Linked DNA regions of Macaca fascicularis. The protein of the gene in region 2 binds, or shares a complex with, the protein of the main gene of each other region. Links are inferred from orthologs where the notes say so. Each region holds a gene or a part of one and is shown on either strand. Other genes may lie near its edges.

What was found.
Region 1: PIGH (region 2) and PIGY share a complex: the UniProt entries of both Homo sapiens proteins name them as parts of the glycosylphosphatidylinositol-N-acetylglucosaminyltransferase (GPI-GnT) complex. The link is inferred for Macaca fascicularis from reciprocal best matches to the Homo sapiens genes PIGH and PIGY.

Annotation. Positions count from the first base shown.
Region 1 is NC_088379.1:94,069,922-94,073,545, reverse strand, and holds PIGY (phosphatidylinositol N-acetylglucosaminyltransferase subunit Y), read left to right. Parts: upstream 1-1,586; 5' UTR 1,587-1,681; coding exon 1,682-1,897; 3' UTR 1,898-2,486; downstream 2,487-3,624. Other genes in the region: PYURF (protein preY, mitochondrial), read left to right, coding at 1,445-1,586. UniProt on the Homo sapiens protein: Part of the glycosylphosphatidylinositol-N-acetylglucosaminyltransferase (GPI-GnT) complex that catalyzes the transfer of N-acetylglucosamine from UDP-N-acetylglucosamine to phosphatidylinositol and participates in the first step of GPI biosynthesis.
Region 2 is NC_088381.1:135,501,024-135,505,880, reverse strand, and holds the start of PIGH (phosphatidylinositol N-acetylglucosaminyltransferase subunit H), read left to right. Parts: upstream 1-1,772; 5' UTR 1,773-1,842; coding exon 1,843-2,022; intron 2,023-4,857. UniProt on the Homo sapiens protein: Part of the glycosylphosphatidylinositol-N-acetylglucosaminyltransferase (GPI-GnT) complex that catalyzes the transfer of N-acetylglucosamine from UDP-N-acetylglucosamine to phosphatidylinositol and participates in the first step of GPI biosynthesis.

The sequences.
Region 1 (3,624 bases), on a different chromosome or scaffold from region 2:
CGCAGCCTCCCGGTGGGCGGAAAGGGAGTGGTGGACCGCGGCCTGTCTCAGCCACTGGGGACTTGTAGGTCGGTGAATACTCTCCGCTGCCATATTCTGGACTCTGTCCCCGCCGGTGCATGCACCTCCCGCTGCGGCGGGCAGAACGGGGGAGACCGGAGGCCAGGGGAGCCGCGTCCCACATCTCCCAGAGCACATAGCCAGCCTGCCGGAATGGCTCGAAGCGTTTTAGGCTTCGCGACCGGCTGCTCTTTGCAATCACCCGGGGACCGTTTTAAAAATGCCGATTCCCCTGCAGCCCCCAAGACGGGCAGACTTGGAATGCTCGGGGGTTGGGACCTGAACATTTGTATTTTCTTTTTTTCCTTTTAAGAGACAGGGTGCCCCCCTACGTTGCCCAGACTGGCCTAGAACTCCCACCTCAGCCTCCTCAGGAGTCGGGAGACAGGCGCCGCCGCCACGCCCAGCTTATTTGTGTTCTTAAATGGTCCCTAAATGATTTCTAACGTACCACCAGGTTCTTGAATTACTGCGATTCAGGACAAGTCCAAAGCCATCCGGTTTTTAAGCCAAGATAATGAAAAGTATTTTACCCTCCAGATTCTTGTGAAAGTGTCTTGTACAACTGGTGCCTGACAATCTTAAGCAATTCAGCTGTGTATGCTGCCTGGTGGCTCTTAGTTGTGGCCTAGCAGATTTCTTAGAAGCCTCTTTAACCTAGTTTTTGGGAAGACAGCTCTACAGTTTCCAAGCTCCCAAAAATGGAATATTGACAACACTAACGCTAGTATTACAAATCGCATAAACGAAACACCAAAACGTTGTCAGTGGTTATCTTTGAGTGGTAGATTGCTAGCAATTTTTCATATTTCTTTTTTCCCATAATAAACATATTCAGTTTTCTCAAACCTTGAAATTATTTGATTTGCGTTTATAACTAGCTCACGGCAGACTTACTGCTTTCCAAAGTTTCCTCATTTCTGCCCTCTCACCTTTTCCAGTGATTTCCTTCTAATGGATTAGTTAAGTTTTTCTGCTTAGCATTTATTCTAAAACGAAGAAGTTGATTTTTCTCTAGTGTTTATTCCAGTAGTAAATTAACAGAGATGATTTGGGGGTTGACCAAAGTAATGAAGGAATATTTGGATAAGAGAGGGGGATCTTTTCTGACTAGTATGAAAAAAAAATTAAAGAATAACTTGTGAATAAGGTGAAAAAGAGAATATGAGAGAAACTGACTAAAATGGGAATAATTATAGATTCTAAGAGAATTTTTCTAAGATAAAAGGTTGAATTGGCTATCGTTGCTTTTAATGAAAGAAGACTATTCTGGGATTAACTCCATACCAAGAATTGGATAAATGATGGTATTTGTTGAAAATCAGGCTCTTCAATTATTTTATTTTTCCACAACTCATTTTGTTCTTTTTTTTTTCCACCCCAGATATGAAGCATCAACAAATGAATTGATTAATGAAGAGTTGGGAATAGCTTATCCAATCATTGATGGGATTCCTAATATGATACCACAGGCAGCTAGGATGACGCATCAAAGTAAGAAGCAGGAAGAAGTGGAGCAGCGCTAGTTCATAATTAAAAAAACATAAAACGCAACAGCCAACTTTTCTTAGTACCATATACCTTTTAAAACACAGTGGCAGGTAATAAGTGGAAGAGAAGAATGTTTCTGTCTCTTCCTACATTGACTGTTCTTATTCCACTGGTTTCTTTAACAGGACTGTTCTACTCAGCCTCTGTGGAAGAAAACTTCCCACAGGGCTGCACTAGCACAGCCAGCCTTTGCTTTTACAGCCTGCTCTTGCCTATTACCATACCAGTGTATGTATTCTTCCACCTTTGGACTTGGATGGGTATTAAACTCTTCAGGCATAATTGATGCAACTAGAGTCAATATGCTGTATACATTAATGGTAGTTCTTGGGCATCTATCTCTGAAAGCTCAAATGGATGGAATTGAGTTTGTGGGAAAGAGGCTTTGCTTTGCGCATATCAGGCTTAGGACTGTGGGAGGCTTAAGTTGCAGGTGCTTCTTTTATTGTGCTCTTGTTCTGCCCTTGTTTTTTGAAGGCTCTGACTTATAACTGCTGTATCAGAAGAAACATTTTGACAGTGTCTTGTTGGAGATAAACATCCCTAATTGACATGTGATGACTATTTCTTATTCCATTCATCTAAAAGTCATTGAAATTTTGTTTTGCTTGTTTGTTTAGCTTCAAGGTCTTTGGTAAAGTCACATGTTAGGGATGACTGAAATAATTCCAAAGGAGTGATGTTGGAATAGTCCCTGTAAGGGAGAGAAATGCATTTGAATGAATGTGATACAAAACCATATAATGAAATAGAAATTTCATGTACTTACAAAAATTGAGTTTGTAAAATTACCTTCATTTCTTTGACATTAAATGCTTATATTAGCAATAAAGATGTTGACACTTTCCCATAAAAAATAAACCAGTTTGTAATCATTTGTTTTGTTTATTTGTTTGGTCACAGAAGTGTTATTGATACTAAGGGAAGTTGTAAAACTGCACTAAATATAGCTGTGTTGAGAGAGGTACTTAATACCTAAAATAGAATCATTTCCTAGGAAAGTAGGGGGTGGGAAGACTTGCAAGTAGTGGATTGTGCCCTGTTGAGCTTAGAGCCATATTTTGAGCCACATTTCAGTTTATTTTCCCAGGACGCTGAATAACACCACTAAGGGCATGAGCATCGACACATTAATAGCCTCTGATTTTCCAGAACTTTCAGTAAGACTAATCGAGCATAGTATAATACTTCTGAAGTATAGTGTGTTTCAGTAGTTAACCCAGAGAAACCAAAGAACCGAATACAAACTTTATTTTTATTGGAATCTTATGTTAACAGAAACCTGAAACAGTGATTCTTCTGCATCAAAAAATTAAGACATGTTAGATGTGTTTTCTTTTGAATTAATTCAGGGTATACTGTAGTATAAATGACATGTTAAAATTACCCTATGGCAACATACAGATAACCTGGAAGACTACAAGTTCCCAGGTATTTCTTGAAGAGTTGTTCTTTTCAGTTAACCCTAAATCTCACACTTAACCTTAAGTCAGGGAAAAGGAAACAATTCTGAAAAGTACGTACTCTATCTCAAGAAGTCAATTGCAATTTCAGCTTTTGGGGAAGTTGAGTGTTTGACCATTTTAGGAAACACTGACACGCATGCCCTTGGGGAGTTTAGTATTTAACACCATCCTCTCACTAATATAATTTATTTAGCTATCAGTTGTTATAGTATAAACATACACCAGGTACAATTATAAACATAGTGCTGTGTCTTCAATCTTATAACCCTAAGGAGTAGGTAATATTAGCACCATTTTACAGATAAGGAAACAAGCACAGAGAGATTAAGTGACTTACCCAAGGTAACATAGCTAATAATTGGATTGAAATGTAAACCATCTAGCCATCCGGCTTCAGTCTTAACTACCATGCCATGTGCCACTTTATTTTGTATTATTTGGTCCTTTCTATTTACAAGAACAAGAATCAAAATGCTTAGTTTCTAATTTTTATTCAAGACTGGACTAGGTGACCATCCCCCTGCTTTTTTTTTTTTTTTTTTTTTTG
Region 2 (4,857 bases):
CCAAGTTAAGAACTCCAGGACTACAGGCTTCCCCAAAACATTAACAGTACTTATATCTGAGTGATGGAAATATGGGTGGTTTACATTTTTTTCTTTTCTGTATTTTTCAAATTTTCCACAATAAGCAAATATCACTTTTTAAATTATAAAACACATGATATATGCAATAGTAAAAGGGGTGATGTGGTTTGGCTCTGTGTGCCTACCCAAATCTCATGTCAAACTGTAACCTCCATGTGTTAGGGGAGGGACGCTCCACCATGCCCAGCTAATTTTTTTTTGTATTTTTAATAGAGATGGGGTTTCACCATGTTGGCTAGGCTGATCTTGAACTCCTGACCCAAGTGATCTGCCCTCCTCAGCCTCCCAAAGTGTGAGATTACAGTCATGAGCCACTACACGCAGCCCATCACCAGTGTTTTGACAGTCCACACAGCCAATCCTGGGTCACATCAGAAGTAAAAATGGAACCCATACACCACTATTATGCATGAGTTCAGTAATTTTATTATCAATTCCATCTCCATCTCCCGCTCCTACTTAATTCCCAGCCAGGTCTTGCCTGTCTACCACGGTCCAAGCAGTCATTTGGGAGACAGAACTCTCAGGCAGTGAAATCCAAACTCCGTACAAGACCCTCTTGGATCTGACCCCTACCTACCTCCCCCATTTCCAACTGTTTTCCTCACATATCAACCTTTCTGGCCTTTTGATTATTTCATTAAGCCAAGTTTGTTCCAATTTCGAGGGGTTTGTCTTTCCTGGTCTTCCTTTCTGGCAAATTCCTCCTCCAGAGCTCCTTCAGTCCTGTCTGGTTCCTCACCCTTTGTAACTCCAGTGTCCTCTTAGAGACTTCCCATGACTGCCCTATGTAAAGTCCTCAGTCAATCCCTGCCAGTCAGCATAGTATTGCCAACAATATTCTCAAGTTATTTCCATATTGTCTCCTACTAGAAAGGAAGCTACTTGAGGGCAGAGACTGTCATCAACATCGTTCACTGCTGCATCCTCAGCACCTCAAACTACCCGGCACAGGAAAAAAGTGGAATGAATACCCGTGGACTCTTCTTGCGTCTTTCCGGCTTAGAGAAATCACCTTGCCAAGCAAAAGCGTGATTAAAACTGTGGGTTTGGGCTGGGTGCGGTAGCTCACGCCTGTAATCTCAGTACTTTGGGAGGCCGAGGCGGGCGGATCACCTGGGGTCAGGAGTTCGAGACCAACCTGGCCAATATGGTGAAACCCCGTCTCTACTAAAAACCCAAAAATCAGCCGGGCATGGTGGCGCACGCCTGTAATCCCAGCTACTCAGAAGGCTGAGGCAGGATAATCGCTTGAACCCGGGGGACGGAGGTTGCAGTGAGCCGAGTTCGCGCCATTCCATCTCAAAACAAAAACAAAAAACAAACTGTGGATTTGCTTGTTTTTAGACAGGGTCTTGCTCTGCCGCACAGATTAGAGAGCAGTGGCATGATCTCGGCTCACTGCAACCTCGACCTCCCAGGCTCAAGCGATCCTCCCACCTTGGCCTCTCAAAGTGCTGGACTACAGGCGGGAGCCAACGCGCCCGGTCTAAAAACGGTTTTAATCCGTCCGCTGAACTATTGCCCCCGACGGGCTTTGTTCGAAGACAATCACAGAAGCCGGGTCAAGGCCGGCCCGGACGAATGCACAGTCATCAACCCCACACAGGGTTCTCGGCGCGCAACTGAGGCTGCGCAGGCTTAGGGCGGGGCATGGTGACGCGGCTGCCGGAAGCGGGTCTGGAGCAGGCGAGACGCCTAGAGCGGGCGATCGCTGTGGAGCGCCGCGCGGTGCGGTGCTGGCGGCCGAGTCGGGGCATCATGGAGGATGAGCGGAGCTTTTCGGATATCTGCGGCGGCCGCCTGGCCCTGCAGCGCCGCTACTACTCCCCGTCCTGCCGGGAATTCTGCCTCAGCTGCCCTCGGCTCTCGCTGCGTTCGCTCACCGCTGTCACCTGCACGGTGTGGCTGGCGGCCTACGGACTCTTCACCCTCTGCGAGGTAAGGGCAAGTCGGCCCCTCCCCGCGGTCGAAGGAGGGGGTTCGGCTTTGGGAGGGTCTTTGGGATCTTTGGTCGAGCCCGGACCTCTGGTCGGCCCCTCCTACAATGATAGAACAGAAGGGCGGGAACTCACGGGTTCTGGGGACGACAGGGGACGACATTCCGCTGCTGGACAGCTCTTTAAATGACGTTTAGTGAAGTGTGTGCTCCTGGACAGTACCTTCCCTCTCCGTGGCTGTGCTCTGCTCGGTGGGTTCACTCAGCACACATCTAGTTCTTGCACGACGGTATAAAACTTTAACTTGCATGTGTTCTATGTAGTATAGGCGCGCAGTAATTTAATTCCAGGAGTTCAGGGAACTCTTAAGTGAGTCTTCCTTGTCCATCACTTCTGCTCCTCAAAGTAGTACTGCTAACAATACTTTATGTAGACTTCCACAAACTGTCTTTGCCTCCACAAGTGTGTGTGTTTATCCGTGTGTATAGATAGTGTTAGAGTTCTTCCTAATCTCTGTTTTTCAAGGCAGTTTTTTAACCCTCCGTCCTCCCAAACCCTTCCCCAATTTCAAGTACTTTCTAAAGGATTATGAAATTTTGGACGTGTGTGATATCTGTGCTCAATTTCCAGATTCATTCCTGTTTTCTTTGAGCCTCAATTTTCTATATCTCTAATAATAGAATTCATGCCTGCCATACCAGCTTCATGATATCGTGAGGGTTAAATGCAGTAACTTTGTGACAGCTCTCAAATAAAAAGAATTATCCCAGTTTCCCTTTTCAGGATGAGTTCTAGTTTCATATGTAGTGCCTGAATTGAATGTATTATCCCAGAAGTGATCTTATCAGAGCTAAGTACAGCAGGGCTATTTATTTCTGTAACTTGGATATTGTTTCCATTACTGCATCCATTAGCTTTTTTGCTGTCAAAGCATGTTTCAGAGCATGGTAATTTAGCATAGAAATATGCAGAATTAAGACTGCCCTAATTGTAGGAAACTGTATCTAACTGTATCTAAACTGTATGTTTGTTCAGGCGAAGGGCTGTACCTCACGCCTGTAATCCCAGCACTTTGGGATGCTGAGGCGGGCGGATCACTTGAGGTCAGGAGTTCGATACCAGCCTGGCCAACATGGTGAAACCACGTCTTTACGAAAAATACAAAAATTAGCTGGGCGTGGTGGCTCACGCTTGTAGTGCCAGCTACTCGGGAGGCTGAGGCGGGAGAATTGCTTGAATCTGGTAGGCGGAGGTAGCAGTGAGCTGAGATCACGCCACTGCACTCCACCTGGGCAACAGAGGGAGACTCTGTCTCAAAAAAAAAAAAAAAAAGAAAGAAAAAAGTTTATTCATAAGTCTGTTAAAATGATTAAGTTGATAGCCCCCCTAGAATTTAATTTACAGTATAGTTGAATTTTAGTACTAGCCTGAGTTTTTTTTTTTTGAGACAGAGTCTCGCTTTGTTGCCCAGGCTGGAGTGCAGTGGCGCGATTTTGGCTCACTGCAAGCTCCACCTCCTGGGTTCACACCATTCTCCTGCCTCAGTCTCCTGAATAGCTGGGACTACAGACACCCGCCACCACACCCGGCTAATTTTTTTTGTATTTTTAGTAGAGACGGGGTTTCACTGTGTTAGCCAGGGTTTCACTGTGTTAGCCAGGATGGTCTCGATCTCCTGACCTTGTGATCCTCCCACCTCGGCCTCCCAAAGTGCTGGGATTACAGGCGTGAGCCACCGCGCCCAGCCTAGCCTGAGTTCTTATAGCCTATGTGTGTGGTCATGTGAGGAGGAGGAAATAGATATTTATTAAATGCCCACTGAGTGCCAGATGCTTTTCTGAATTCCTTACTTTAGCCCTAGAACGAAGAAAACCAAAGCTCACAAAGAAGGGTGAGTTATCCAAAGTCTCAAAGCAGTAAATGGCAGATCTGGGCTTCCAACCCAGGGCTTTCTGACTCTGAGACCCTTTCTTTTCCTTTATACCATTGTATAGTTGATCTTAGGCAAAATTTAAAAACAAAAATCTGTTTTTGTGCCAGGTCCCTTCTGTACTTATCTCTCTCATCCTGGTGTACTCTGCTTACCCCTATCAAGTACCCCAGGACTCAGTGACCACATCTTCCTTTAAACTCTACTGCAATACTTTCTAAGGGCTCTGTGTGCCAAAATTTCTTACCTTTCCTATTCAGAACTGCTTATGAGAGTAATGAATATCTGGAATGAGAAGAAATCTGATTGAAGGAATTCATTCAAACATACAGCTTAACCCCAACCCAAATGAATATTGAATTGTTTCAATTCTACACAGTAAAATGAAGTTGAAAAAAATGCAGATAGTAGGGCATGGATTGCTCTTATTGGAAAGCTGACGTGATCAAATCCTTAAGGATTTACTGTTCTTCATCCCTACATTCCTTCTTGTTTTTAAGTTCACAGTTCTATTAAAGTTCCAGGTTGTTCCCTTGTTTATTCCAACCTGGAATGTTCTTCCCCCTTCCCTTTCAACTAATTATATTGGTCACTAACCACCACCTCCCCTGCACCAATTAAATCCTAGTTCCTTGGATGTGATGGGATATATTCTTGTGTGCTTTAATGTCTTTTTCTTTCTTTTTTTTTTTTTTTTTTTAACTTTTCCTTTGGCACTTATAGTCAGTATCAGAGTGTCCTCCAGAATATTTTCTGTGTATTAATCTTGACTTTAATAAATCTATACGGGTCAGGGCTGAATTGTATTCCTCTCCATTCTTCATAATGCTTATTCAGTGCAATTAATTAACTCAAAATTAGATCTTTCTGGATCATCAGAGACCCAGTACTGAATCCTCCATTCAT